7 linked regions of the Callithrix jacchus genome follow. The protein of the gene in region 5 interacts with the protein of the main gene of each other region in a pairwise test. Links are inferred from orthologs where the notes say so. Each region holds a gene or a part of one and is shown on either strand. Other genes may lie near its edges.

Evidence for each region.
Region 1: the proteins of CHD3 (region 5) and SIRT6 interact in a two-hybrid assay, tested with the Homo sapiens proteins (2 studies listed by BioGRID and IntAct). The link is inferred for Callithrix jacchus from reciprocal best matches to the Homo sapiens genes CHD3 and SIRT6.
Region 2: the proteins of CHD3 (region 5) and YAE1 interact in a two-hybrid assay, tested with the Homo sapiens proteins (2 studies listed by BioGRID and IntAct). The link is inferred for Callithrix jacchus from reciprocal best matches to the Homo sapiens genes CHD3 and YAE1.
Region 3: the proteins of CHD3 (region 5) and HABP4 interact in a two-hybrid assay, tested with the Homo sapiens proteins (3 studies listed by BioGRID and IntAct). The link is inferred for Callithrix jacchus from reciprocal best matches to the Homo sapiens genes CHD3 and HABP4.
Region 4: the proteins of CHD3 (region 5) and PTN interact in a two-hybrid assay, tested with the Homo sapiens proteins (2 studies listed by BioGRID and IntAct). The link is inferred for Callithrix jacchus from reciprocal best matches to the Homo sapiens genes CHD3 and PTN.
Region 6: the proteins of CHD3 (region 5) and IMMT interact in a two-hybrid assay, tested with the Homo sapiens proteins (2 studies listed by BioGRID and IntAct). The link is inferred for Callithrix jacchus from reciprocal best matches to the Homo sapiens genes CHD3 and IMMT.
Region 7: the proteins of CHD3 (region 5) and SERBP1 interact in binary tests that used the Homo sapiens proteins (3 or more experiments, as listed by UniProt). The link is inferred for Callithrix jacchus from reciprocal best matches to the Homo sapiens genes CHD3 and SERBP1.

The regions. Positions count from the first base shown.
Region 1 is NC_133523.1:3,924,703-3,928,805, forward strand, and holds the start of SIRT6 (NAD-dependent protein deacylase sirtuin-6), read right to left. Parts: upstream 2,801-4,103; 5' UTR 2,777-2,800; coding exon 2,711-2,776; intron 2,567-2,710; exon of another isoform or gene 2,490-2,566; intron 1,862-2,489; exon of another isoform or gene 1,687-1,861; intron 1,169-1,686; coding exon 1,041-1,168; intron 19-1,040; coding exon 1-18. UniProt on the Homo sapiens protein: NAD-dependent protein deacetylase, deacylase and mono-ADP-ribosyltransferase that plays an essential role in DNA damage repair, telomere maintenance, metabolic homeostasis, inflammation, tumorigenesis and aging.
Region 2 is NC_133512.1:8,037,086-8,041,346, forward strand, and holds the end of YAE1 (protein YAE1 homolog), read left to right. Parts: exon of another isoform or gene 1-615; intron 616-929; coding exon 930-1,051; intron 1,052-3,143; coding exon 3,144-3,573; 3' UTR 3,574-3,761; downstream 3,762-4,261. UniProt on the Homo sapiens protein: The complex LTO1:YAE1 functions as a target specific adapter that probably recruits apo-ABCE1 to the cytosolic iron-sulfur protein assembly (CIA) complex machinery. May be required for biogenesis of the large ribosomal subunit and initiation of translation.
Region 3 is NC_133502.1:77,381,277-77,385,500, reverse strand, and holds the start of HABP4 (intracellular hyaluronan-binding protein 4), read left to right. Parts: upstream 1-1,424; 5' UTR 1,425-1,570; coding exon 1,571-1,919; intron 1,920-4,224. UniProt on the Homo sapiens protein: Ribosome-binding protein that promotes ribosome hibernation, a process during which ribosomes are stabilized in an inactive state and preserved from proteasomal degradation.
Region 4 is NC_133512.1:109,978,627-109,982,735, reverse strand, and holds the start of PTN (pleiotrophin), read right to left. Parts: upstream 2,801-4,109; 5' UTR 2,613-2,800; intron 1-2,612.
Region 5 is NC_133506.1:74,381,829-74,386,008, reverse strand, and holds the start of CHD3 (chromodomain-helicase-DNA-binding protein 3), read right to left. Parts: upstream 2,801-4,180; 5' UTR 2,770-2,800; coding exon 2,502-2,769; intron 2,423-2,501; coding exon of another isoform or gene 1,876-2,422; exon of another isoform or gene 1,849-1,875; intron 1,413-1,848; exon of another isoform or gene 1,265-1,412; intron 570-1,264; exon of another isoform or gene 557-569; coding exon of another isoform or gene 517-556; intron 1-516. Other genes in the region: uncharacterized protein LOC144582572, read left to right, coding at 1,876-2,422.
Region 6 is NC_133515.1:26,833,178-26,836,677, reverse strand, and holds part of IMMT (MICOS complex subunit MIC60), read right to left. Parts: intron 2,010-3,500; coding exon 1,873-2,009; intron 1-1,872. UniProt on the Homo sapiens protein: Component of the MICOS complex, a large protein complex of the mitochondrial inner membrane that plays crucial roles in the maintenance of crista junctions, inner membrane architecture, and formation of contact sites to the outer membrane.
Region 7 is NC_133508.1:104,649,693-104,653,192, forward strand, and holds part of SERBP1 (SERPINE1 mRNA-binding protein 1), read right to left. Parts: intron 1,666-3,500; coding exon 1,492-1,665; intron 1-1,491. UniProt on the Homo sapiens protein: Ribosome-binding protein that promotes ribosome hibernation, a process during which ribosomes are stabilized in an inactive state and preserved from proteasomal degradation.

The sequences.
Region 1 (4,103 bases), on a different chromosome or scaffold from region 5:
CAGACTCCGTGGGGACCCCTGAAGGTGGCAGGCCGGGAGAGATGGAGGGGGAGAGGGGAACAGAAAAACAGACGGAGAGAGAGAAAATCAGGAGACAGAGAGAGAGGCAGGGAGGCAGAGAGAGGGAGTCGGAAAGAAATAGAGGGTAAATTTGGAAGAACAGGGAGAGGGAGACAGAATAAGACAGAGACAGAGATATAACGAGTTAAAGACAAAGTCAAGTTAGAATTGGAGACAGACAGAGAGAGGGAGAGACAGAGAGAGGGAGAGATGAATTCACACGAAGGCAAAAATGACTTATTCAGTTCAATCAACTTGGTTGCTGCTGCCCTGAGCCTGGCAGGGCACATGGACCCAAGCCCTGCCCTCCAGAAACCCTTGATCTTGGGGGAGACAGGTGGACACAGACCCTCTGGCCCCACGGGGTCAAGACTGGATCAGAGGAGGTACCTGGGCCTGGGGAAGGCCAGTGGAGGTGGTGGGGACGCTGGGGCATGTGGAAGGGTTTCCTGGAGGAGTCTGAGCGTCTCTTGAAGGGTGAGAGGGAATATCAGACAGAAGGGGTAAACAGACGCCGGGGTGCTGGGAAGAACCCATGAGTTTAGGAGAAAATGCAAGTGTTTGGGGGCTGTAGCAGGGGCAGGAGGAGCTGACGCTGGAGAGGTGATTCGGGGCTGGGCCAGGAACAAAGGGCTTGAGCTTCCAGCACCAGGAATTCAGAATTCTTCCTGCCTGGTAATGGGGAGCCACAGCAGGTTATGGAAGAGGAGGAGGAGGAAAAATTCACGCCTTGGAATTCTGATTTTTTTTTTTTCCAGCCAGGTGTGATCAGGCCAAGGGGGTGAGTGGAATGCTGGTTGTGATTTCAAGGGACACGTCCTAAAGGGAGGGAATATCAGCCCTCCCCAGTGTCCAGGACACATCCAGAAGGAAGGAAGGAAGATGGATGGGCCCTAATGCCTAGTTGTGTGGCTCACGGGGAAGGCCGTGGCAGGCTGGTGGGCCTTGCCCCGATGTCCCCTGCACACTCACTCACAGACCTGAAGTCGGGGATGCCAGAGGCGGTGCTGATGCCGGCCCCTGTGTGAAACACCACGTTGGAGGACTGCCAGACCAGCCTCGCCAGCTCCCACACCTTCCGCTCCAGCTCCTCTGGGGGGTCGAAGATCTGTAGGGGGAAGGAGCAGATGGAGGGGTCAGAACAGGTCCCGCAAGTGGCCAGGCCATACACGAGCCACAGACCGAGCTGTCCCTTTCTTGCCTGGGGCAGGAAATAGATTGGAAAAGGCAGCTTGTCCTCATGTGTGTCCTCTGCCTACAGACCTCCGTGGCTCCCACCTGCCTTGTTAAAGCCCTAGCCCTGCCCCCTCATGTTCTCTTCTGCTCCCTTCCCAGCGTCACTCACTCTGATCCAGCCACGCAGGGAGGCCTCCTCCCTCTTCCTCCATCACGCCAGGCACAGTCCTGCCTCAAGGCCTCCGCACAGGCTGTCCCCACACCCTTGAGTGCTCTTCCCCCAGATACCCACATGGATGCCTCCTTCACCTCCTGTAACTTGTGGGTCAGATGTCACCTCAGCGACAGTGACGCCTCCCTTGGCCACCTGGTTTCCATACAACCCCTAGTCAGTCTCCCTTATTAGAAAGAGGGGTTAACTTGTCTTGCTCCTGACTGTGGCCCCCTTACCTAGAAAGTGCCTGACCCACAGCAGGTGCTCCATCAATGTTGGTGGAAGAAAGTGACTAACAGGCCGGGCGCGGTGGCTCACGCCTGTAATCCCAGCACTTTGGGAGGCTGAGGTGGGCGGATCACGTGGTCAAGAGATCAAGACCATCCTGGCCATGGTGAAACCCCGTCTCTACTAAAAATACAAAAATTAGCCGGGCGTGGTGGCGCGTGCCTGTAATCCCAGCTACTTGGGAGGCTGAGGCAGGAGAATTGCTTGAACCCAGGAGGTGGAGGTTGCAATGAGCCGAGATCGCGCCATTGCACTCCAGCCTGGGTGACAAGAGGAAGACTCCGCCTCAAAATAAGTAGGTAAATAAATAAAGTGACTGACAGCAGCAATGAAGAGCGCGGCTTCTGGACAGACACACCGTCAGCGCTCACTAAATGCAAGACTCGGAATGCATGGGTCAGCCTTTATGGGACGGGGCCATCTTCACGCAGGCGACAGCCTCCGCAGAAAGGATGGGGATGGGGACCCAGAACTGAAGTGACTTCCCACCGGGCGCGGAGGGGACAGCCGACCCCTCCACTTCCCCTCCGAGTGGCTGGAGGGATCTTCCTGGCACATTCTGTCCAGGCCCCTCGCCAGGGCAAGACCCTTCTCCATCCCCCTCGGGAGAAGGTGCCAACTCCCCAGCCTGGCATTTGAGCCCCGCCCTGGCCCGGCTCTGGAAACCTCCCCGGCCTAATCGTTCTCCAGGTGCGTTTATTCCACCACCCTGCCCTTGCGCCTGCCGTCCCCTCCTCCTGGAACTACACACCCCCGCTCTCCCCGACCAGCCCCGGCCGGTGGCCACAGAGTTGGGCGTGTTCGCGTCCCCGGGTGCGCAGGGGTGTCACTTCCCGCCCCTTCCTCACTGGGAAGTCCCTCCCATTGTCTAGCCTCAGTGTCTCCTGATATTCCCACAATGCCCTGCTGCCGTCCGGACCCTCCCTGCCAACGGCGTTGGGAGCGACCCTCGGGATCCCCGGATGCGCTCACCTCGGGGAGGCCGCACTTGCCCTTGTCCGCATACGGCGACAGCCCCGCAGCGTAATTCACCGACATCCTCGCCGCGCCCACGGGAACAATAAAGTTTCCCTTGTTGAGGCCGCTTCCGCCGGAAGCGGGGCGCGGCGGGGAGGAAGGAGGAGCCGCGTTCCTGTTCCGCGAACCCTGCCTCCCTCGGCAAGGCGCATGCGCCGCGTGCTGACGCCGCAGGAGCCATGTTAACTGCTGTCGGAAGGAAACCCGATTTCTTGGCTGCAGGCATTCTCGGGGTTTGGGAAGGGGCTGCCCGATGACCCGAGCGGGAAATTGGGGCGGCCGCCTACGTGAGAGTCCTCCAGTCACCTCTAAAATGAGGGACGCAGGCTATCGATGCCCCCATAACCCCGTTTTACGTGTTAGTAAATTCCATAAGGACAGTGCCAGACAGCAGGGACCCCCTAGTCCAAGGGTCTTGAATGCCACCCTGAATTATCTGAATTTTTTTTTTTTTTTTGTAAGACAACCTCGCTTTGTCGCCCAGGCTGGAATGCAATGGCGCAGTCTCAGCTCTCTGCAACCTCCTCCCGGGTTCAAGCGTTTCTCCTGCCTCTGCCTTCCGAGGAGCTGGGATTACACACGCCCACCACCGCGCCCAGCTAATTTTTTTTTTTCTTTTTTCTGATTTTTGTGTTTTTTAGTAGAGATGGGGTTTCACCATGTTGCCCAGGCTGGTCTCGAACCCCTCACCTCAGGTGATCCACCCGCCTCGGCCTCCCAAAGTGTTGGGATTACAGGCGTCAGCCACCGCGCCGGGCCAGGTTATCTGAATATCATACAAGTGGAGGCTCTGAATTTTGCAGGACACTTCCTGCTCGTGGTCACTGGGGCTGGTGGCCTGGAGGGCTTATTTAAGAATCATGTGTTGAGCACCTACTGTGCACTGGGCACACTGGGGAACAAAGATGGTACCGTCCCTGCCCTGGTGGCTGGGGGTGGACACAAAGATGTGATCAGGTAATGGTGACATGGTGTGGTTGCGGTGCAATGGGGGATGCAGAGGGCACAGGGCAGCGAGGGGGCTCACAGGAGGCACCTGACCCAGCTTGGGGGCATCCAGGAGGGCTTCCTGGAGGAGGGGATGTTGCAGCAAAGATCTAAAGAGTGCATGAGTCAGGTAGAGCCGGTTGGGAGTGACTTGAAATATAGAAAGAATGTTCCCAGTGGGGGAAACAGCAAGTGCAAAGGCTGAGGAGACAGGAAGAGCGTGGCTCCTTCCAGAATCTGAAATCAGTCCAGTGATGATAGGGAAGATCGTGGGTGTCTTCCCGCCAGAGCCGCTGCCAGCCTGTCTCCTCCCTCGGCTCATCCCCAGCCCCCTGGGGCGGCCGCCCGCTCAGAGCTGATC
Region 2 (4,261 bases), on a different chromosome or scaffold from region 5:
TCTGTGCCTTTTTGAAGGACAAAGGCAATCTCCCACAAATATCATAAAGAGTCCCAATAACAATCTGGAAAGCAGAGTTGCTAAAGCAGAAACAGTATATGATCCCGACACTGGCAATCAGGGTCTTCAACAAAGTAGTTATGGCAAGTCCTGCTCCGCATAGAGAGCTGAAAGAGTGCTGACATACTGCTCATCTGAACCAGAACCTGGCCCGAACCATGATGAAACAGGTTCGCTGCTCTTCCACTCTTCATTACATAAAGTTTATGAAGTCCTTCTTAGTCGTTGGATCCTGATGGTGCCTAAATTCACCATCTTAACAATGATAAATATTAGGAAGAGCAGTTATGATAAACTGTCCAGACAGTCCTGGCTGCTCTGTGACATCCACTTTCGCAGCATTAACCTCAAGATCTTCTCCCCATTCAGCAAAACTTTCCCATTCCAGGGCATCAGGGGCATAAAATTCTATCATCCAGTCTCCTTCCAGCAGCTCTCTCCAGTTCTCATGATGATGACGTGTACATTGCTCCACTGCCCATGGGTCCAGGGAGCACCCCAAAGCAACTGCACCAAGACTGCCAGGGGAACTGCAAGACTCCCAAAGGGTGCCATGTCCGCCGCTTGCCCACCTCACAGCAAGCACAGCGGCCCAACATTGGGTTTTTTAAAAACTGTAATTATCAGTGTTTTAAAAATTGCCCAGTAACTCTAGACTTCAAAAGTAGGATAAGTAATGATAAACCAATAATAAACTTATGAGAAGCATAGTCTGTTTTAGTGATGTTGTTATGCCGTATTATGGTCATTAACACAGTAAAGGCCTAATTCATCAGCTTTCTAAATTGGTTCTGTGCTTTTCTAGAAAAACCTACATGTGGTATACTTGGTGTTAGTTACAGCTGCATTTCTCCATTATTTATTTTTAGGAAGGTTATAGAGATGGAGTAGATGCTGGCAAAGCAGTTACTCTTCAACAGGGCTTCAATCAAGGTTATAAGGAAGGCGCAGAAGTCATTTTAAACTATGGACGACTCCGAGGAACACTGAGGTAATTTTTAAAACCTAAATGCTGACTCATTTTAAACTCAATACTGCTGGAGGCGTTTAAACTGAAGTGCTTTTCCTAGTGCTAAATCCACTGAAGCCTCTCACAGAACATAGAATTATATTGCCTTCAAAAAGTCAAAATTATTATCAGTTCATCCACTTTAATATGTGAACTACATATCGTCTTTTTGTGCAAAGAAATGGTAAGAAGATGTGTGCTTTTGCTACCTAAACAATCACCTATCTCATTAAAAGATCTTCAGGTTTTGATTAAAACTTTTGGTACTTGCATGCAATATGACAGACCTCTAGACAAGAAGTACGTGATGAAAATTATAGTTGGTAATTAAGAGAAAACTGATTTCATTTACTGTAGTCCTGACATTGAATACTTGTCAGGATGCCATCGCAACAACGGCATGTATCAGAGCCAAGTGGTCAAATGATACACAGAGCCGGAAGCCTAGCAGCCTTGTCCTTTTTGATGCTTTATACCAAGCTTGTCCAACAAGTGGCCTGCGTGTCGCATGTGGCCCAGGACAGCTTTGAATATGGCCAAACACAAATGCATAAACTTTCTTAAAACATGAGCATAATGAGATTTTTTTGTGATTTTTTTTTTCTTTTTTGTTTTTTTAACTCAGCTATCATTACTGTCAGTATATTTTATGTGTGGCCCAAGACTGTTCTTACAGTGTGGCCAGGGAAGCCAAAAGATTGAACACCCCTGCTTTATACCCTTCAAACTGTCCTCAGTAGAGAAAAACAAAATGCTTCAAAGAATCGCTAATTTTAAAGAAAAGTAGATAATAAAAGTTACCAAAATAGAACTAAAAAATTTATTGTGTTTGGAATTTTAGAGAATCCAACTATTAGGAACTAGAATCTATTCTGCTACAGTAGGAAACTAATCAATGTGAATATTCACATTATCAAGTTAAATCAATGTTATATAAACTTAGAAAGCTACTACTGAGTCTTTTACATCAATAGATTCTATTTTTAAATACTTTTCGTAACAACCATTATTTTATGGCATTACTGTAATATTAAATCTGTTAGGACTAGAAGAATTTTTACCTTTTTCGAGGAAATTGTTAGTAGTTCAGGAAACAATGTCTACTCTGTGACGTAAGCCCAGGAAAGTGAAGTCTCTTTAAAACTTCTTTTCTCGGGCCGGGCGCGGTGGCTCAAGCCTGTAATCCCAGCACTTTGGGAGGCCGAGGTGGGTGGATCATGAGGTCAAGAGATCGAGACCATCTCGGTCAACATGGTGAAACCCCGTCTCTACTAAAAATACAAAAAATTAACTGGGCATGGTGGCGCATGCCTGTAATCCCAGCTACTCAGGAGGCTGAGGCAGGAGAATTGCCTGAACCCAGGAGGCAGAGGTTGCGGTGAGCCGAGATCGCGCCATTGCACTCCAGCCTGGGTAGCAAGAGCGAAACTCCGTCTCAAAAAAAAAAAAAAAACTTCATTTCTCTAACCTTCATTTCTGATGGCAAGCAACTATATGCTTAGAACAATGGTTTTCAACTTTGGTTACACCTTGAAATCAACTGTGAAACTTAAAAAAAAGATGCCCCGGAGATTCTGATTTGATTGGCCTGGAGTATACTCTGGGTCTTGATAGGTTTAAAAGCTCTTTGGGTGATTCTAATGTGCATCCGTGATTGAGAATTGCTAGTTTAAATTCTCAATTTAACTAATTCTAATTAAATTGCTATTTAAATTCTTCTGACCTTAAAGAAGAATCTAGTTTTTCTTTCTTGGAGCTGTATTTATCTTCAACAGATACCACATAATCATAAGAAAAAAGTATAAAATCAGGAAAAGTGTATACGGAGTTGTGAAAGTGGTTATGAATTATGAACAGTCTTATGATTAAGTCCAATTGTTTAATTGTTATTGAAAGATAATTTAAGGTCCTGTTTACTGTTATTACTTTCCTGATTCTGACTGCATTATTATCCTTAATCCATTTTTGCACAGTATTATCTGGAAGAGAAATATGTCAGGCTTAGCATCAACCATTCTAAAAGCCTGTGACTAACTGTCTTTGTTATTTAACTCTTGTGTATATTTCTGTTCAGTGCTTTGCTCTCCTGGTGTCACCTTCATAATAATAATTCGACTTTGATCAATAAAATACATAATCTTCTGGATGCAGTTGGCCAGTGTGAAGAGTACGTGCTCAAACATCTGAAATCAGTCACTCCACCATCCCATGTTGTAGATTTATTGGACTCCATTGAGGATATGGACCTGTGTCATGTCGTTGCAGCTGAGAAAAAGACTGATGAAGCTACCGATGAAAGACTCTGTGAAAATAATGCTGAGTTTAACACAAACTGTAGCAGGAGCCATAGTGGGATAGATTTTTCATATTTAGAATGTTGTGGAACACAGGAGCATGCACATTCAGAAAACCCAAGCCTCACGTGGATTTTAGAACAGACAGCCGGTTTAGTTAAACAGCTGGGCATATCAGTAGATGTGTTACAACACCTCAAACATCTGTAAAAATTATCTTCCCTTTTCTAATGTATATAATGTTCAGAACATTTCTTAGAACACTTGGTTTCCTAAGAATCAAAATTTGTACTGGTTTCTGCATCAAACACTCCAACTGTGGGGTTATCCTTTATGAAAGTTTGACATTTACACTATTGTCTTCAAAACTAACACTATTAAATGTAATATAAGCCTTTTTTCTTTGTCACTGGTAATTTTTATCTAGTTTTAAGATACGGTCAGAAATTTCCATTGTCATTGCCATTTCAAAACTTATCGTCAAAATGAAGTGTTTTCAGACTTATTTGCAAAAGTAAACAAGAATTACACATATTTTATAAGGACCTACCCCTACTTCTACCTCCTGTCACTGCTAGGTGGTCAGGACCTCACCAAACCTAAGTTATAAAAATAACCTAATAGCATATAAACACATAGACAGATATATAGATATAGATATGTAGATATATGCTGAAATTAAGAGACTGTTAAGTGTGAGAAACTAAAGCAGTGTTTATGCTGTTGATTCAATGATTAACAGCAAAATACTAACGTGTTTTAGTTTTGTGTTAATTGAAAGGACATTGTTTTATGAAAAATACAGAAAATATACTTCATGCTTGAATCTAAGGAAAATACCTACTTGGTTTTTTTCTAAGTAGTAGGGAGTCAGTAGTGTTGCCTAACAATGTGCTGG
Region 3 (4,224 bases), on a different chromosome or scaffold from region 5:
ACCACACTTGAGAAGCACTGCTTCAGGCCAGAGTTCTCTTTGGCATCTTTGAACTGGTCATCACCAAACCACAACACCAAGATTCATTCTCAACCCCTTCTTAGGTGCAAGAGAAACTTTCCCAGAATACTTCTCAGATCCGTTCTGCCCAAATTGCCCCACGGCCTATTCCTAAGCCAGTTACTAAGAAGGAATTGGAATCAGGTGCTGTGAATAATTTATGGTTAATCAAGTTTGAGGCTGGAAGGGGCCGCTTCTTCTGGGGAATATGATGCCTGAACAAAATACAGGCTCTGGGAAAATGTAAGAGGGAAAAAGAACGGCTGTAGGATAAGCAGCCAAGCGTGTCTGCATCAGTGCCCATGCAAGATTTCCTGGAGAAAGTCCAGTCCAGCGTTCTCTAAACTCCAGGCCTCAACTGAGTATCTCAAAAGAAAACAAATATCCAAACCTCAACGTGTCCAAGACTGAATTCATGATTCTCATGAAAGTAGTCTCTTCCAATGGTGACTAATACTACCACCAGATGCTGGAGCCAGGAAAATAAGAGTCACCATACCTTCTTCCTCATCACTACATCTAGCTCATCACCAAGTCTCTGAATCCTCCACTCTCTTCACCTCCACCTCTACCAACCTAATCCAAGTCACTATCAGCAATTGCCTGGAGCTTTGCAACAATTGTGTTTGGCTTCCCTGCATCCATTTGTATTTCTCTCCAAATTATTAGTTCACAGTGCAGGTCGGGTGGCCTTTTCAAACCCAAATCTGCTCATGTTCAAAACTTGCTTCCCACTGCTCTTAGAATAGGGATGGACGACTTTGAGCTTGAATAGGCTGTGCATACCCCACCTCAAGACTGCTGCACTTGCTGTTCCTCCTCCGGCCCCTTGTCACCCCCTCTCTCAGCTTAACTGTCACTTCCCAATTAGGTCAGGTCCCTCTGCTGCAAGCCCGTAGAGAGAGCTCTGCGCCTGTCCTTCAGGGCACTTTTTCTCCATCTACAGACTCAGACCTGTGCAAACACGGAGCTAGTATTTCCCACAGCATAACGCCTGGCACACGGTAAGTGCGCAATATGTAGCTGTTGAGCGGCTAAATGTATGCATAAGCTCAAAGCAGAGTGGCCGGTAACAAGTACGGACGCAGTCCGGGGAGAACACGCACGCAGCCGAGCCCCCACCACCAGTCCGCGCCGCCGGGACAGCGGTGGTGTCTCCGGCCAGTAGCTCCGCCCCTGGGCCCCGCCCCTCTGTACTGCGCGGAGGGGGCGGGGCTCAGAGGTCGCGTGACGTAACAGCAGCCGGTCGGTGATTGGGCCTCCCGGAGAGCCGGCTCGGAAAGGGGGCGTCTCCCCGCGCGCTGATTGGCTGTCGGGCGAGGCGAAGCGGGTGGTGGCGGCGGCGGCGGCGGCAGCGCGGGGGCGGGCGCCGGGAGGGGCCGGGCCGGGTAGGGCCCGGAGGGCGGTGGCGGCGGCGGCGGAGCAGCGGCCGGCATGGGTCCTAGCCGCCAGCTTCGCTGAGACGCGCTCGCGTGGGCTGCCCGCCCGGGACCACTGTGGTCGTGGCGGCATGAAGGGCGCTCTGGGGAGCCCCGTGGCCGCAGCCGGCGCCGTGATGCAGGAGAGTTTCGGCTGCGTGGTGGCCAACCGCTTCCATCAGCTGCTGGACGACGAGTCGGACCCGTTCGACATCCTGCGCGAGGCCGAGCGCCGGCGCCAGCAGCAGCTGCAGCGCAAGAGGCGCGACGAGGCGGCGGCGGCGGCCGGGGCTGGTCCCCGCGGCGGCAGGAGCCCGGCCGGGCCCTCTAGCCACCGAGCGGGCGCGGGCGGCCGGAGGGAGTCGCAGAAGGAGCGCAAGACCCTCCCGGCACCTGGCGCTCAGGGGCCCGACAGCCCTGGGGGCGGCCTGCAGGCGCCGGGTACGCAGTGGGGAGCTGGGGAGCGGGCCACGGCGCGCCCCGCTGTGAGGCTGGGGTCCCGGGGCCGGTTCCTGGAGGCGGGGCTAGGGAAGAGCCGGGAGAGTTGAGGGTCCTGGTGGCCGCCGAAGGTAGGAGGAGAAGGGCGGGGATCACACCCCTTCCAGCCCTCACCAGCCGGTTGCGGAGCTCGGGGGAAGCGCAGGCGGGGTGGGGTGAGGTGGAGCCCCCAAACCCTGGCACTGAGCCTTTACGGCAAGTTGGACAAAGTTGAGGGAGGTTGCTGGGGTGGCGTGTGGGGGCGAACGCTGAGGTCGCTACCCTGGGGCGCGCACATCCAAGCTGGCGGGGTCCTTCTCCATCCTCCAGCTCAGCCTCTGCAGGATTGAGGTCGGAGCCACCCGAGAACGCGGTAGGGAAGAGGAGGGCGCCCGGCCCCGGGGCTGGAGGTCTCTGTGATGCGGGAGGCCTGGGCGACCGCAGGGCGGCCTGTGACGTCCGGGTCCGGGAGGGGCGGGCGGGGGTCCCTGGCGCCGTCCGGCCTGGCGCCTTCGCCCTTTCCCCGTCCGGTAGCGTCCAGCAGGCAGCGGGCATCGTATTTCAGTACTTCGTGTGGTGTTGATGGGATGTGGAACTTATAAATAACTTAAGGCCGCTTTAAGAAAAGCGTTTTTTACCTTTCCATCAAGAATATTCGGAGTTCCCTACTCGCTGTTTAGCAGGCAAAACCAGTGCGCAGCGTGGTGTTTTGCTGCCTGCGGTCGGGGAGGGTGCTTGAGAGTTCATTCTCTCACCTGAACTGCGTCAGTGGCAGAGCCCGCAACACTCCGCCTGTGTTTCTTCTGTTTTCTTTAAATGAGACAGCGGTCCCAAGATTTGCAGAGTGTTAAGATTAAAATGTGTAGTTTGGCCACTCCTGCCAACGTTTGGCAGTGTGTTCAACTTCGTTTTATTCGTTTGTTCCTTGTTTGATAAAGATTGTGCATCGCAGCGTTGTGGAAAGGTCTCAGGTTTAAGTATTCGGGCTTTGATGTGCAGCTGGGTCATGTTTACCTTTATTTGTGAAAAGTTAAATCCAGAGTCATCAGTCGAGAATCAAGTCACTATAATAAAGATGTTGAAAATGATTTTAAAAAATGTTATTCTCTCACGACTCTTTGGTAGGCCAGTAAATTTCTGAGCCTATCTAAACTGTGAGATTGGAGATATATTGTGCATTTTATATCCTGTTTTTTGTGTTTTTCTCATAAATGTATTTACATGAATATAATAAAAGAACTGAGAAAGGCTAAGCTTTTCTTCTCCATTTTTTTAGCAAATGAAAATACATATTCTATTCCGAAAAACATGAGACGGGTTAGTACTGTTAATACATTGATTTTTAGCCTTTTTTAAATTGTCATGCATTTTTGTTATAAAAATTTTAAGCAGTTCCAAAATGCATGAGGTTAAGTGAAAATCCTCTTATGTTTCCTGCTGTTAACACTTTGCATTTATATACATAAATGCACAGGGCTATTTCTTTTCTTTCTAAACTTAAATGATACAAACTGGTTGCAACCTGTTTCCTGCACTTAATGTTGTCATGTGGTACACCCATAACTTTTTTTCTGTCAGTTGTTCCGTCTGAGTGATCTGGCTTTTGAAATCAACTGAAGATGTTGAGTTGATTTGTAGTTAGAATGGAAATTTTATCATTGACGTTCTTTTTCAAGTATGTGTTTTTTTTCAGGAGCAAACAGCTTATTAATTTCCATTTAGGTAGTTGCTGTACGAAATTTATCTATGATGGATGTCAAAGAGCTAATCTCTCAAGGTTTTGTAGCCCGGGTTGATATGACACACTGTACCAAATTTTTAATTTTGTTAGAATATTGTAAGTGAATGTTTAGACAAAAATAAAATATATTTGATATCATAGAAATACTAATCCTGAAAGAATGTGGAAGTCACAAGCTTTTCATATGGAAATGTAGGGTTTTTGTTTGTTTTTGAGACAGTCTTGCTTTGTTGCCCAGGCTGGAGTGCAATGGCATGATCATGGCTCACTGCAACCTCCACCTCCTGGGTTTAGGCAATTCTAACAGCCTCCTGAGTAGCTGGCATTACAGGCATCTACAGCTAATTTTCTTTTTTCTTTTCTTTTCTTTTTTTTTTTGAGATGGAGTCTTGATTTTCTGTCACCAGGAGTGCAGTGGCACCCTCTTGGCTCACTGTAACCTTTGCCTCCCGTGTTCAAGTGATTCTCCTGCCTCAGCCTCCCCAGTAGCTGGGACTACAGGTGCATGCTACCAAGCCCAGCTAATTT
Region 4 (4,109 bases), on a different chromosome or scaffold from region 5:
CTCATCACATTGGGTGGTCCAGTTTGGACACCTCCTTCAGGAGAGAAGTCAAGAACAACTCCCCTTATCATTATACCGCCATATTAAAAAACATAATTGTTTAGAGAAAGGGAATTCGTATCTGAATTCTGACTTCTGGCCCTCAATCTATTGTTAAATTTATCACATCATTATGAACAAGCCAACTAAACTCAGTTTCCTAGGATATTTTTGAATAGTAATTGAAAACACAATGTCACAAATAGGAATACGATTAGAATTCATGTGAGGATGTCATGTAGGTGAGAAAGCAAGGGTATTGTCAAAGAAAAAATAAAAGATTTAAAGTTAAAATATTTGACATCAAAGATTAATTTTATTGAATAAAAATGATTCAACTATCTGGAAATCTTATTTCTCTCTGTTGTTTTCCGTTGTTTCAGGTTTAAAATTTATAAAATTTTATAATTTTATATTTATAAAAGGGCCATTAGCTTTACTGAAATCTTTCAAAAAATGAAAATGCTCATTAAAAAGAAATGTAGGTCTTGCTACACATTGCTATATGTGAAGCCCAAATAAGGCACATGGAAAATGTCAATAAATTAGGAAGTTCATGATTCCAAATCTCATGATCTCATGAAAAGAAGTCTAAAAAAAACAGAGAATTATATATAATACATACAATACATTAGACTATAAATATAGTTAGGTATACTTTATTACTCTAATTCTCTGTAATATCTCATTTAAAGTCAGATAATTTAAAAGTCATGTATTAAATAGTACTTGTGTATATCTCAAGCTCTACCTTTGAGAACATAATGCATTTGCATCCAGAAGCAAACAGCTGGAACACAGCAACTAATAATGCTGTTACATGTGGCTTCAGATGGGAGTTCCTTATAGTGGCTTTTCACTAAATGAAGAAAAAGATGTCCCAAAGGGAATCAGTGAGCAGTGGCAGGAAAAAAGATCATCTTCTATGTATTTAGAGCACAATTAGAGAATTTAAGGCCCAAGTTTCTTAAAGCACAAAAGAATGGCATTAGAGTATTTTTGAAAAAATATATAATTTTTAAAAATCTCATCTAATTTAAATGAAAACGTATAAATATTGCCAGTCTGAAATAACTCATGTCCCAAAGGGAGAAAAAAAAAAGATAATATTCATTCTAATTTCCTCTGAATTTAACTGGACTACATATTCCTTAATGATTTGGCCTTTAAAATGCATAATTTACTTAAAAAGAAACATAATGAAGATGGAAAATACAAGCTTTATTTTCTGCGTTGGGAGACTTCTCTTTTGTTTCATTCTCATTACCTGTTAATATTTCTACATATCAATGCATTCCTAGATAATTAAGGGGCTAAAATGGGCTCTGCTGTTTCATCAATTCCATGTTTGCCTTGGATCATAAAATTGCTTCATTATGTTATTAGTTCAAAAGCTCTTTTTGGTAATTTACCAAGTCTTCTCCCAGATCCCTTACTCCAGTGCGCGCACGCGCACACACACACATACAGACACGCACGCACACACATACACCCCACCCCTTTCTCAAGCTGCTAAAGCAAAATGCTTGATAACTCTTAAAATGCTCAAGGATGGGAACTTTACTATTCTCTCCTCTTAGGACCCCCACCCCTCCTATTTTCTGAATGTATTCCCAAACTTACAAAGCAGCTCTTAATAGACACAAGGGTGAGTTAACAATAAAGCGGATCTATACGGCATGTATGTGTTCTTGTATGAGCGCGTGTGTGTTGTGTCGTGTTATGTCATGGAAAAAGGGGTGTGTGTGTGTATGGAGAAGAGAGAGAAGGCTTCACGTTCAGTCTATTAAGTAAGAAAGGAGTTGAATATATTCCTCTCAAAAAAATTTCATAACTTATTAGAAACATCAACTTAGAAACTCTCAATATCTAGTCGATTAGTAACAAATACACCCTAGGTTCATATGGGTCAAATTAAAAGTTTAAGGGTCTATGTACAGGGCAGTTCTTTATATGGGACTCAGGGGGCATCTTCTAAGCTTTGGGTCTAACCATTTCTGGAACCATTCCTGGGCTGTCAGGTGGGAATAAGGGTGCCAGTGGTTCTGTGAGAGACGTTCCATGTCAGCTAGCATTGGGAGGAACAAGCCCCCACAGTTTACCTAGAAATGCCAGCTAAGAGTCATGGGCTGGCCGGCCCTGGGGCAATCAGAGAATCAGAGAGAGGATTGGAAAATGAGAGCTGCTTGTTCAGGCTGCCTTACTTTCTCTTCAACTACCCAGCCACAGACACACCTACTAAAGCTCCCGGTTTTACAAAAAGCAAAGATGCACTCTCCCGCCCTGGCCTGCTCTCCAGCTGGCAGCTGGAACAGGGTCCAAATGCACGCTTAACATCACAAAAACTTCTCACACTTACCTAAGCACTCCCTGACGAACCTAACCTCACTCCCCCAAAATATGCCTCCCTTCGTCCCTGAAGCAAGTCAGTTTTGAAAGCGGTCCTATCAGCAACGACACCAGGCAGCCTCTCTCACTCCTACCACCATCATCGGCTGGCACCCAGAAAAGTGGCACAGGGTGAAGGCAAACTCGAAGAGCCCTCCGAGAAATCGTGCGTTCTTCTCACTTACTTTGAGTTGCAAATGTCCGCTCTGGCGCTCAGGCTGCCTTTGTTGCGAGGGGCGAGGTTGCTACTGCCGAGTCCAGGTATGGGCGGCTCGCTGCAGCTCTGGGTGGCTGCGGCTCTCCACGCCTTCTGGACGGATGAGTCACTGGTCTCTTTCTTCCCCTCTCCCCACTTTGGATTTTCCTCTGCTCTGGGGCTCTCTTGGCGGGATTTTTGGACTGGAAGGCGGGGAACCTGATCCTGCCTTTGACTCAATTACGCCCCAACAGGGAGGGAACGGAAGGGAAATGGAGAATGGGAGTGATGAGAGGAGCGGGCCAGGAGGACGCAGGCTGGGCGAGGGAGGGAGAGCGCTTTGCGCTCCAGAGCTGATTGGGAAGCTTATTAAAAGCAGAATACTCCAGGGGCAGTCTCTCCCCATGGAGCAAGAAAAGGGATTTGAACTAAGAGGCCAGGAGATGGCATTTTGTTTTGTTTTTAGCAGAGACCAAACACAGTATTTCTCTTCCAAACTCCATGCATTATCAAGTCTTCAGATGGTGCAAAGCCACTTTGCCAACTGGGATATTTTAAATGAACAATTGACTGCATTTTAGGTTACAGTTTTGGCCCCACACAATTCTTTAATGATATTCAGGATGAAAAAGCACTCTCGCTGGGCGCGGTGGCTCAAGCCTGTAATCCCAGCACTTTGGGAGGCTGAGGCGGGTGGATCACAAGGTCAAGAAATCGAGACCATCCTGGTCAACATGGTGAAACCCCGTCTCTACTAAAAATACAACAAATTAGCTGGGCATGGTGGCACGTGCCTGTAATCCCAGCTACTCAGGAGGCTGAGGCAGGAGAATTGACTGAACCCAGGAGGTGGAGGTTGCAGTGAGCCGAGATCGCGCCATTGCACTCCAGCCTGGGTAACAAGAGGGAAAGTCTGTCTAAAAAAAAAAAAAAAAAAAAAAAATAGAAAAAGCATTCTCTTCAAACCAGCCTCTTCTTTCCCACCCGCCAAAGCCCTCCCTATACACAGAGGCAGTTACCCAGCTGTGAGTCACATCTCATCTGCAAAGCACAAAATGTACAAAGTACTTTTTCTCGATTGTCACAAAGAGTGACAGACGTCTGAAAACTCCCAATTAAGTACTACTTACCTTTAGGGAGAGCTCTCTCCTTTTTTGGTTTCCTTGGTGCCTTTAGTGACCTATTTAGTAACATGCCTTTGACACCCAAGAATTTAGAGGATGTGTCAATGTAGCTCAAATGCTGAGGTTTGTAAAAGTTGGAGGCTGGGCTTTGTGTCTCTCTGAAATTTTCATTTCATTCAGTTGAGGAAAGATGCTAAGTCAATGCAGAGGTAAGTATTCATGATACAGATGAGATACAAGTATTGTATTAAGATTAAGATGCATTACACAAATTTACCCAAACATTTTCAAAATGTAAATCTCGAGATTTTCTGCTACTTACCAGCTTTTCCTGCTCCTTGGCTAGTTCCTTTCACTTACTT
Region 5 (4,180 bases):
CCCCCACAACGAACCACCATAATAGGTCTGCTGCACATGCGTACTGCAGGCAGGGGGTGGGTTTGTATTTTCAGACCTTTTGCAAAGAAACTACCAGAATTTTCCGCACCACCCACAATCATTCCCCACCCCCACCCCCAAGGAATCACATCTATATATTATGTTATATTATTTCTCTCGACTTGCCAGAAGGGGGAGGGAGAAGAAATGAGTTTTTGGCTTCCTGCTCCCTTCCCCCACCAACACGAGTGCTATTATTTTAAACGCTTAACAATGTAAGGAGACTGAAGAGAGGGGGAAGGGATAAAATTGGTCTTGGGTAAGAATGTAAAACAAAATGGTGAGAATCATAGCAGTCGGAATGGAAAACAATGGAAACCTCTCCTGTGCACAAATGCATATTCTAGACAAGAGCGAGGGCAGCCTGAACAAATTTCCTTAGAGGAGGGTTATTTTCCCCACACTTAGGCAGACAGAAATAATGAGTGGGCTAAAAATATTTTCCCGAAGTTTTACCTCCGAAAGTCATCTGAGGGGGTGTATCTGGGTCACTCATTTGACTTGGAGGGCTGAAAGGGAGATAAAAATTGCCCAGGGGGAAAGGGGAGATGGGTTTTCATTTCTAATGTAAAATGTAAGCAGCCTTTGACGTTTCTTCTGGTCTATTCAGAAAACCAAGGGGGAAAGGGGAGGCCCGGTTGACACAAAGACCCATCTCAACCTCCGATCCTTTCACGCTTCTTTCCTCCGCACGTACCCAGATCCGGGACCCACCCCACCCCACCCCAGATTCCGAGTCCCAATACAAATAGGTGAGGGCTGCCAAGCCCCTGGCAGGACCTGGCGTCCTTTCTTTCCCACTTTTCAGCGCCTCTGCCGGAGGCAACCCCAAAGGCACCCTCTCCCCACAACTCCCCTTTCCTTCCCCTCCTGCCATGGCGGGGGGCTCTCAGGGAGAACTTTTTCAAAAACTTTTCTCTTTTTCAGACAAGCTTGGGGGGCGGGGAGACTTTATCCTGTTTCCAGGAGACACATCCCTCCCCGACCCACAAGAAAGCACCCCCCGCTCCCCCAAAGGTCGTCTCAGCTAGACGGGAACGTTTGCCACAGAAGTCACACGGATCAATATGACAGTTTTACAAAGAGACCGATGTTGGCCGTTTTGAAGTTTGCTGCATTTGTGCCGCATGGCAGCCAGAGGCCTGGGGGTGCGGACGTCCCCTGCTGTTCCGCAAGCAGGGGGTGTGGACACCCCGATGCTCACCTATCTCAAAGAAGACTAGAAATCACTCCACTAGGAGGGTGGTCTGGGGGGGACACCGCTGGGCGCCTGACGCGGCGCAGCGGTCTGGAGAGCGCCGCCCAGAGAATTCCGCCGGGTGACTTGTCACCCCGGGGAACGGGTGCTGAGTGATGGTCAAGCTGCAGAACAGCTGGGTGGGCAGTTCACGCCCCCCAACGTGCTCAGGGAGTGGGTGGTTTCAGCGAGAGAGTGACAGTGAATGGCAGCCGCGCGAGAGTCACAGCTGCGCAGCTTGGCCACCCCAGACTGACGGGGTCAGGAGGGGAACCCCCCCCCCACCGCACTTGACACAAAAGAGCCCAGTGCCCCGGAGAGATGAAGGAGGTGGAGCTGGGGGCATGTGGTTCCCCAGACACTCTCCCCTCCGATCCCCAATCCTAAAGGACCGCTGTCCCCTGCACAGGCTGGGGGAGCTCCAGTCTTATTCCAGGAAGTGGTCTGGGTGGACTGTGGCCACCACCTGCCCCTACTTATCAGCAGCCCACAAACATTCACACGACCCCTCCCTCTCGTGCCACCTAACGCCCCTCAGTTGGCGGACACCTAAGTCCCCACGGGTGGAGGGGGGTCCGATGGACACCGTTCCTCCTCTGCCTGCCCAAGTCCTGAGCGGAGGGGGCAGGCCCGCCGGCTTCTCCGTGCGGGGAAACCCCGCTCTCCCTCGGTCCAACCCCACCGGGGCCCGAGCCCGAGGGGCGCTCGCGCGGCCGCCCCTCCCCCACGCGCCCCTCCCCCACGCCGCCGTCCGGCCGCCAGGGTCTCCGCGGTCCCTCGCTCGGCCAGGGAGGGGGCCCTGGCTTCGCCTTGGCCGTTTCCTGCCTACCCCCTCCCCGCCGAGGGTAAAAAAAAAAACCCTCCTCCTCCTCCTCCCCCGAAAGCCGCGACCGAGTGGCCCGGTCCGCGCGCGCAGCTCGCGCCCAGCGCTCTCCAGCCGGGGTGGCGGCGGCGTTGGCGGCGGCGGCGGCGGCGGCGTTGGCGGCGGCGGGGGAGGGGTGCAGCGGGGGAGGGGAGGAGGCCTGGCCCCGCGGTCGCGGCCGCCAGCGACCGCCCGGACCGCCGCAGGGCCACGGGCCCGAGCCCCGGATTCCCGCCCCGGATTCGCCTCGGCTCGGCCGCGCGGTGGGTGCCTCGCCCCCGCCCGGCTTCGCGCGCCCGCGGCTCCCACTTGGGCTTGGGGGGTAGTCGGGCGGCCGCTTACCTGGCGGCGGGGGCGGGGGCAGCGGTGGCGGCGGCGGCGGCGGCGGCGGCGGGAAGAGGTGGCAGCCGGGGGGGCTGTGGCGGTCGCGGCCCCGGTCGTGGCCCGGCCCGCGCCCGAGTACTCCCTCGTCATCGTCCTCCTCATCGTCTTCGTCGGCCGCCTCTACCTCCTCCTCCTCCTCGTCGCCCTCTTCTTCCTCCTCTTCTTCCTCCTCCGACACCACCATCTCCTCCTCCTCCTCCTCCTCGTCCCTCAGAGGGGAAGCCATCCTGTGGCTCTGGCCCCCCCACCACCCCCCCACCCACCGCCCGCCCGCCTCCCCCACCGCTACCACCACCACCTCCTCCTCCTCCTCCTCCTCCTCCTCCTCCTCCTCGGCGGCGGCGTCCTCCTCCTCACCGCCTCCCCCAGCCCCCCAAACCCCCGGGCCACCCCCCTCCAAAACCCCCACCCTCGGGGCCGCTGTCTGAGGAGGGGGGCCAAACCACCCCCAAAAATTGTCTTGGAAAAAAATTGAGGAAAGACTTTTTTTCCTTCTCTCTTTCCTCCCAAGAGAACAAGAAAGGGGGATTTAAAACATATATATATATATATACATATATATGTGTGTATATATATAAAAGTTTTCGACTTCTCTCTGCCCCCCTCTCCGTTGCTTTAAATATATTTAAATTCTGAGGGGGGCGCTCAGAAATATTTCTCAGAGCTGAGGCACTAAGATGGCCGCCTTGAAATTATTTTTAAAACAACCCCCCCTCCAGCACCGCCACCCCCTCCATAAAGAAAAGGAGAGGGGGGAAAATCCCCTTTTCAAACAAAATGGCTGGCTTAATATTTCATTTTTCACCCCCCCATTCTCCTCCCTGTTACACCCCCATCTCCAAGCCTCTACCCAGAAACCCACAAATTTCTCCTTTTTCATAACTGATTAGTGCACAGATTAATAGAGATATTTTCCTTGTGTACTGAAGTGTGTGTGTGTGTCTGTGTGTCTGTGTGTGTTGGGGGGGCATGAAGGATTTCTGCATAAAACAAAAATGGCTGCTGTGACTAACTCCCCCCTTATAAAAAATATTTGAGGGGGGGCATTAATCAGTACTCATGCTCAGTCTGACATCAGCATAAATTGTTAAAGGTTAACTAGTTAGATACTAGTCCAACTAGATTTAATTTTTTTTCTTTTCTTTACTAGTCTCTTCCTCCCCACCTCCCTTCTCTAAAGAAAAGCTTTTTTTTTTTTTTGAATACTTCAGAAGGGAGTGGTTTGATGTGAAGGTTTTTTTTCCCCTTCAGGCATTGAAAAGGAAAAAGATGAAATATATGTTTATATATAACTCTGTTTCTACATACCTCATTGAAGTCACAACGCATTTAATTGTGTACAGATCTTCTAAATGAGAAGCGGGACTGGATTTTTTTCTTCTTTCTTTAAAAAAAGTGATAGAAATCCTAGTGACTTTTGGGGGAGAGATATGAATAGATACGATGATTGAGTTTTTTCAAAGGAGTCCATGTTTGATTCTCCCCTTTACCCAGCCTTTTCAGTGATTTATAATTGTTGTAAATTTTATCTTTACTTTTTCCCCCCTTTCCCTTGCTTTCCCCTCCTCCAATTGCTAGAATGTAAAATTCAACTGACTTTTAATTTGGGGGTAAATGGGACAAATTTTTAGGATAAA
Region 6 (3,500 bases), on a different chromosome or scaffold from region 5:
TACTGGTCTACTTGGGTTTGAACCCAATACCCTGACATCATGCAACTTCTAGCCTTCCCATATCTGTAACCAGCAAATTAAATTTCCTGTGTGGTTTCCATTTTGCTGACTGAACTCTGATATTTAAACACTTTTCTTGAACTTTGAATAAAATGGAATTTTCCTTAAGTTTTCAAATGTTGTATTTTTTTTTTTTTTTTTTTTTTTGAGACGGAGTTTCGCTCTTGTTACCCAGGCTGGAGTGCAATGGCGCTATCTTGGCTCACCGCAACCTCCACCTCCTGGGTTCAGGCAATTCTCCTGCCTCAGCCTCCCAAGTAGCTGGGATTACAGGCACGCGCCACCATGCCCAGCTAATTTTTTGTATCTGTAGTAGAGACGGGGTTTCACCATGTTGACCAGGATGGTCTCGATCTCTTGACCTCGTGATCCACCCATGTTGGCCTCCCAAAGTGCTGGGATTACAGGCTTGAGCCACCGCGCCCGGCCCCAAATGTTGTATTTTTTTACTACTAACATCAGAGGTCTAATTTAAACTCTTTTGCAATATATATACATATAACTAAAACTATGTAAAGTGTGTTTAAATTTTTTTTAAAAACTACAGTTATGATGGCAAAGCAACTTTACTGATCATGAATGATCCTGATCCTTAATATTTATGTTTTATGTTTTTACTTTTATATTACTCCTTAAGTGACTTGGAATAGAGATACATTCATACATACTGAATAACTTAATGTAATTAAAAAATAATTTATTGAGTCCCAGTATTACATCTGAAAAATCAGTATTATTTCATTCTTTGAAGTGCTCTGCATAAATTAAATAATCATAAACATTTCAAATAGCTGGTGTTTCGGGGAACACAGGATCTCTCCAAATTATTTCTTAAAACTGCATGTCAACTGACAAGTACCTTAAAAAGTTCATCTATGGAAACAGCAATTTTAAAGAAAACAACAAAAATGTTTAGGCACTATTAAAATATGACAGTAAATATGAACTAATTCTTGTATCAGTATTGTAAGATAAAATAAAGCACAATGTAGAAAATTTGTTCCAAAAATTTAAAGGCTTTTCAGTTTTTTTTTGTTTCGTTTTTTGTTTTTGAGACAGAGTATCACTCTGTCACCAGGCTGGAGTGCAGTGGCATGATCTCAGCTCACTGCAACCTCCTACTCCCTGGTTCAAGCTATTCTCCTGCCTCAGCCTCCCAAGTAGCTGGGATTATAGGCATGCACCACCATGCCTAGCTAATTTTTATATTTTTAGTAGAGATGGGGTTTCATAATGTTGGCCAGGAAGGTCTAGATCTCCTGACCTCATGATCCACCCACCTTGGCCTCCCAAAGTGCTGGGATTATAGGCATGAGCCACCACACTCAGCCTTTTAGTTTGTTTTTTAAAGATAATTATCCTAAGGCCAGGCACAGTGGCTCACACCTACAATCCCAACACTTTGGAAGGCCAAGGTAGTCAAGTCACTTGAGGTCAGTGAGTCCAATCTGGCCAAAATGGCAAACACTGTCTCTACTAAAAATAGAAAAATTAGCTGGGTGTGGTGGCAGGCACCTGTAATCCCAGTTACTCAGGGGGCTGAGGCAGAGAATTGCTTGAACCTGGGAGGTAGAGGCTGCAGTGTGCTGAGATCGCATCACTGTACTCCTACCTGGGCAACAGAGCAAGACTCCATCTCAAAACAACAATAACAAAAAAAGATAATTATTCTAGACTGTTTCGCCTAGTGAAAGTCCATACCATAGGGAAGAAAGCAGTCTATTAAATATTATACTTCTCTCCAACCCCCTTTTTTTTTCTTTTTGTCCCACAAGTCATGACAGCCAAAAAGCTTCTAATCATTGGGCTCACCTCAGAATTGTCCATGGCGGCTTTCAAAATGTTGGAGTGTGCATTGACAGCCTGTACTGCAGCATTCTGAGCTGCAATAGCCTGCAGAGTGACACTTGCAGTTTGCCTCAGAGCATCTTCTAAGCTCTTGGCTAGAGCTTAAAAAAAAAAAAAAGAACAATTAAAAAACAAATCCCTACCCCCACAAATGACTGGAAACTTGCTGTTCTCCTATTGAGATTTCCATTGTATTTCTCAAAAAATATGAAAAGGAACGACAAAATACATGAGACTCAAGTTTAGGGAATCAAAGTTTCACTTAAAAGTATGGTAAAATACTGACAATTTGGTCTGGATGATGAATCTATGAAGCTCTATTACACTATTTTTTCTTTTTTGTTTTTGAGACGGAGTTTCGTTCATTACCCAGGCTGGAGTGCAATGGCGTGATCTCGGCTCACCGCAACCTCCGCCTCCTGGGTTCAGGCAATTCTCCTGCCTCAGCCTCCCGAGTAGCTGGGATTACAGGCATGCGCCACCATGCCCAGCTAATTTTTTGTATTTTTAGTAGAGACGGGGTTTCACCATGTTGACCGGGATGGTCTCAATCTCTTGATCTCGTGATCCACCCGCCTCGGCCTCCCAAAGTGCTGGGATTACAGGCGTGAGCCACCGCACCCGGCCCACACAATTTTTTCTTGTATGTATATCTAAACTTTTTCAAAATAAAAAGTGTTTTTTTTTTTTTTTTTTCAAAATTATTTAAAGAAGGACAAAAGGACTCAAAAGAAGACACCAATGTTTGAGAGGCTACCACCTATTAAGATCATATTTCTATATGCTGTTTCAGGAATACCAAAAAGTAAAGCAAAGAACAATTTTAGATAATTTACTAAAATGCAAAAAAAAAAAAAAAGGTCATTCGAAGAAAGGTTAGTGAGAATACTAATTTAATAATAAACGATATGACAAAAATAAAAACTACATTTGACAAATGAGAAAAAAAGATAATTTTGAACGAAAGCAGCATAAACTAGCAAAAACAAACAATCAGATGAACTACAAACGGTACCTCTGCAAGAAAGATAAAAGAGGAAAGCTAGAAAGCTAATAAGGAGAAAATAAAAGTAAATTGACAGAAGTGAAAGAAATGAAACAACAGCAGCAGGAAAAAAGAGAGAAGGAGGCAAGGGAGGGAAACCATGGTATTTGGATCCCGCAACATACGTAAGGGAACAGTAGACATCACCTACAGGTAGTTATGAACCACTTTATGGAGTCCACAGAAAGTGGGCTGCTGGAAGGCACCTGCTGCTTCCAGCCCTCTTCAGAGTTCTAGTCACTGTATTCTGATCCTTGATAAATGTTACACATGCAAACATATGCATGTACATTTTTAAAGTCAAATTTGAGAGAAAGTTAAGAGGTGATAGATAAAATTCTGAAATTTTTCACTTGGTCCAAAATGAAAGATGAGAGGAACCAGGCAAAGAAAGTAACAGCTGAAATAGCAGACATCTCCAGCTTACAAATATAACTTAATTTCAAGGTGCCCATGTGATAAATGATAAAGAGAGACAAGTGAAAAGTGAAGAAAAAAAATATGACTAAAAGAAAAAAGAAACGTTTCACTTAGTTAGAAGTCATTT
Region 7 (3,500 bases), on a different chromosome or scaffold from region 5:
AACAGGTTTCACGATTTTTACCAGGCTGGTCTCAAACTCCAAACCTCAGGTGATTTTCACCCAGGCTTCACAAAGTACTAAGATCACAGGCGTGAGCCACTGTGCCCAGCCAGTTACTTTATTTTTCCAATAAACCACACAAGTAGATTCACATGCAATTATGTATGTGAATTCACACTGCTGTTCAGTAATTCCTCTTTTTATTCTTTTTGAGACAGTCTCGCTCTGCAGCCCAGGCTGGGGTGCAGTGGCGCGATCTCAGCTCACTGCAACCTCTGCTTCCAAGGTTCAAGCAATTCTCCTGCCTCAGCCTCCCAAGTAGCTGGGACTACAGGCATGCACCACCGTGCCCAGCTAATGTTTGCATTTTTAGTAGAGACGGGATTTCACCAAGTTAGCCAGGATGGTCTCGATCTCCTGAGCTTATGATCCCCCCACCTCAGTCTCCCAAAGTGCTGGGATTACACGCATTAGCCACTGTGCCCGGCCTGTTGTTCAGTATTCTTATACTTTTTCCACTTGCTAAGTAAGAATGGCATAAATGTGAAAAAGCATGCTAAGAAACTAATATTTAAGTAGCAACAATCAACAAGGTAATAAGTCTGAAAAAAGGAGTCCAAACTGCTTTTTACAGCCACAGAACTAAAAAAGGTATGGGAAAAACCCATCAACCTAATTGCTGCCTTAAAAAAAAAAAAAAGCAGATTGGTCTTAGAGGTAGAAACAAAGTATCATTACACTGGCAGTAAAGACCACAAAATCTATACTATTAAGTTATCCTTATAATCAAAGACAGACTGAATCAAGCAGGTGGGTCCCTGAATTTGTGTATCAGGTGCTGAGAATTTAGGTGGACATTATGGTTGTTTCCAAGCATCAGATCTGAGTTCATATCTATCAATTACTTGGGAATTCATCAAAATATTTAGCTAAGAACTTATTTTGTGACACGCACTGTTCAAGGCATTGGAGAGATTATAGAAAATAAGACAAAAATGAATTCCAGATTTCACAGTAGAGTCTAGTAAAAGAAAAAGTGTCAACAATCATGAGTGTCACAAAAGAAGTTATACAGGGAACACAACGGTTATTAAGCGGAGACCTAAAAAGCAGTTAGGAATTATCAAAGTGAACAACTGGTTTTCAGGTAAACCTTAGCAAAGGCCAAGAGTTAACTTGATTCACTCTATCAGTTTCCTCATGTGGAAAATGAGAATGTCATCATAGTAACAAGAATTAAATGACATTAAGCACACAAAATGCCTAGCCCAGCACCAGGACCGGCACCTAACAGGAACTCTAAAGTGTGGCAATTAAACATTACTAACTTTATACAAAAAGGCATTTAAGTGCTTTAAACAAAAATATAACCTAACATGTGTTTTCCTGAAGACATGGCTACTACTTCTACTTACGTTCACAAAAAGACCCAGTCAGTGACTTATAAGAGGTCCTTAAATTACTTAAAAGGAAAAGAAGGACTTAAATTACCTTGTCGGTCCTGCTGCCACGGTTTGGGCGTCCACCACGCCCACGTCCACCTCGTCCTCCCCTGCCACCACGTCCTGGGCGGCCAAGGTCTCCAAAATTGATCTCTAGCTGAGACGTTATATCATTTGCTGGCTTCCGGAAATGATGGTCCATAACCGAATCTTCAGCATGAGCCTAAAAATATAAGTGAAGACGACTGAGTAAGTAGTAGAAAAGCAATGTTGCAAAATTCCTAAATAATAAGCTTTCTTCTAAAATGACCAAAACTCCAAAAACTGTACTTTCTGTCAACAAACGTCTCCACAGGTAACAAGCTATACTCAGCTATAGTGATCTTGAAGAAAGAATTTCCTTCACTTCTCTCTATCTCAAAATTGCAGGTAATACCAGCAGTCCTCAACTAAAGTCATATATGTTATCACAATCAACGCAAATAGCTGAAACCCATCCCAGACCTACTGAATCATAATCTTTAGCAGTGAAATCTGGACAAATACATTTTAAATATGCCCTTCAGTTTAGGACTCCAATGTGAATCCTTGATGTAGACCTTTGGATAGAAGACATATAAGGTTATTTTACTAGTACTAACATTGAAGTTAAAAAGAACACTCAAGTTAAAAAGAAAACCTCTGTTCTACACTCTTCCAACTACAACTTGGGTAAAGACAGTATTACATATAAACTTCTTAGAAGCATTTTCTGTTAATATACAACTATTATGTTTTTCTATACAAATTAGAGCTACAAATTCAAGTAAAACACTACACACTTTACATTAAGAGGGAAACACTGGAAAGCTATGCACAAAGATAACCACACACATTGGAAAGCTATGCACAAAGAGGACCAAATGTTAAATATGTCAGGAACCTTTTTTTTTTTTTTCTTTTAAGACAAAAATCTCACTCTGTCACCCAGACTGGAGTGCAGTGGCATGATCTGGGCTCACTGCAACCTCTACCTCCCAGGCTCAAGCAATCCTCCCACCTCAGCCTCCCAAGTAGCTGGGACTACAGGCACATTCCATGACAACTGGCTAATTTTTTAAAAATTTTTTATGGAGACAGGTTTTTGCAGTGTTGCTCAGGCTGGTCTCAAAACCCTGGGCTTAAGAGATCCATTGGCCTTGGCCTTTCAAAGTGCCGGGACTACAGGCATGAGCCACAGTGCCCAATTAGAACCTTCTTAAAAATGTAGTCATGTTTGTGAAATCCAGTTTTTCTATTTATATAAAGATACATGACCCAGTCCGGGGGAAAAAAGCAAAAGGTCAGACAATTCTACACTGCTCGATGCCTGTTGTCTTCTTGTATGCTTGGGATGGGTTTTATCTTCTAAAATCTTTGCTTATTTGACTTTAAAGTACAGTTTTTCCTAAATACATGTAAAAAAAAAAATCCTTCTCTTTAAGGGATAATAAACATTTTATTCTTTCAGTAGAACCTGTACTATTACAACTCCATTAGATTCAACTTACAATATTACAGCTGTTAATAACTACCCTCTGAAGTGCAAATAAACTTGTTTTAATCTATGTTTTCAACCCTTACATCATCTCATAATAGTATTCAATGTCATCCCATTGTGCCACATCAATACACTGTAAGGCAACAGAAAGTTCTAATACTAATTTAAGTGGAGCCCAGAAACTTAAAAACAAATTCACAAAAACATCAGTAAATTAAAGTCAATTATATATGCTGTCTGATTTTTAAATGTTTTCTATTTCAAACCAATGCTTTCAATTCATTACAAACCACAGATCAAAAATATTCAGAAAAAAAATAAAACCAACCAACCACATAAAAATAAAAAATAAAGTCAGGTGTGGTGGCTCACACCTGTAATCCCAGCACTCTGGGAGGCAGAGGCAGTAAGACTGCTTGAGCCCAGGAGTTCAAGATCAGCCTGGGTGATACCTAACATGGTGAGACCCTTCTCTATAAAAAATAAAATTAGCTGGCCTTGGTGGCACAGGCATGAGTTCCCCAGCTACTCAGGAGGCT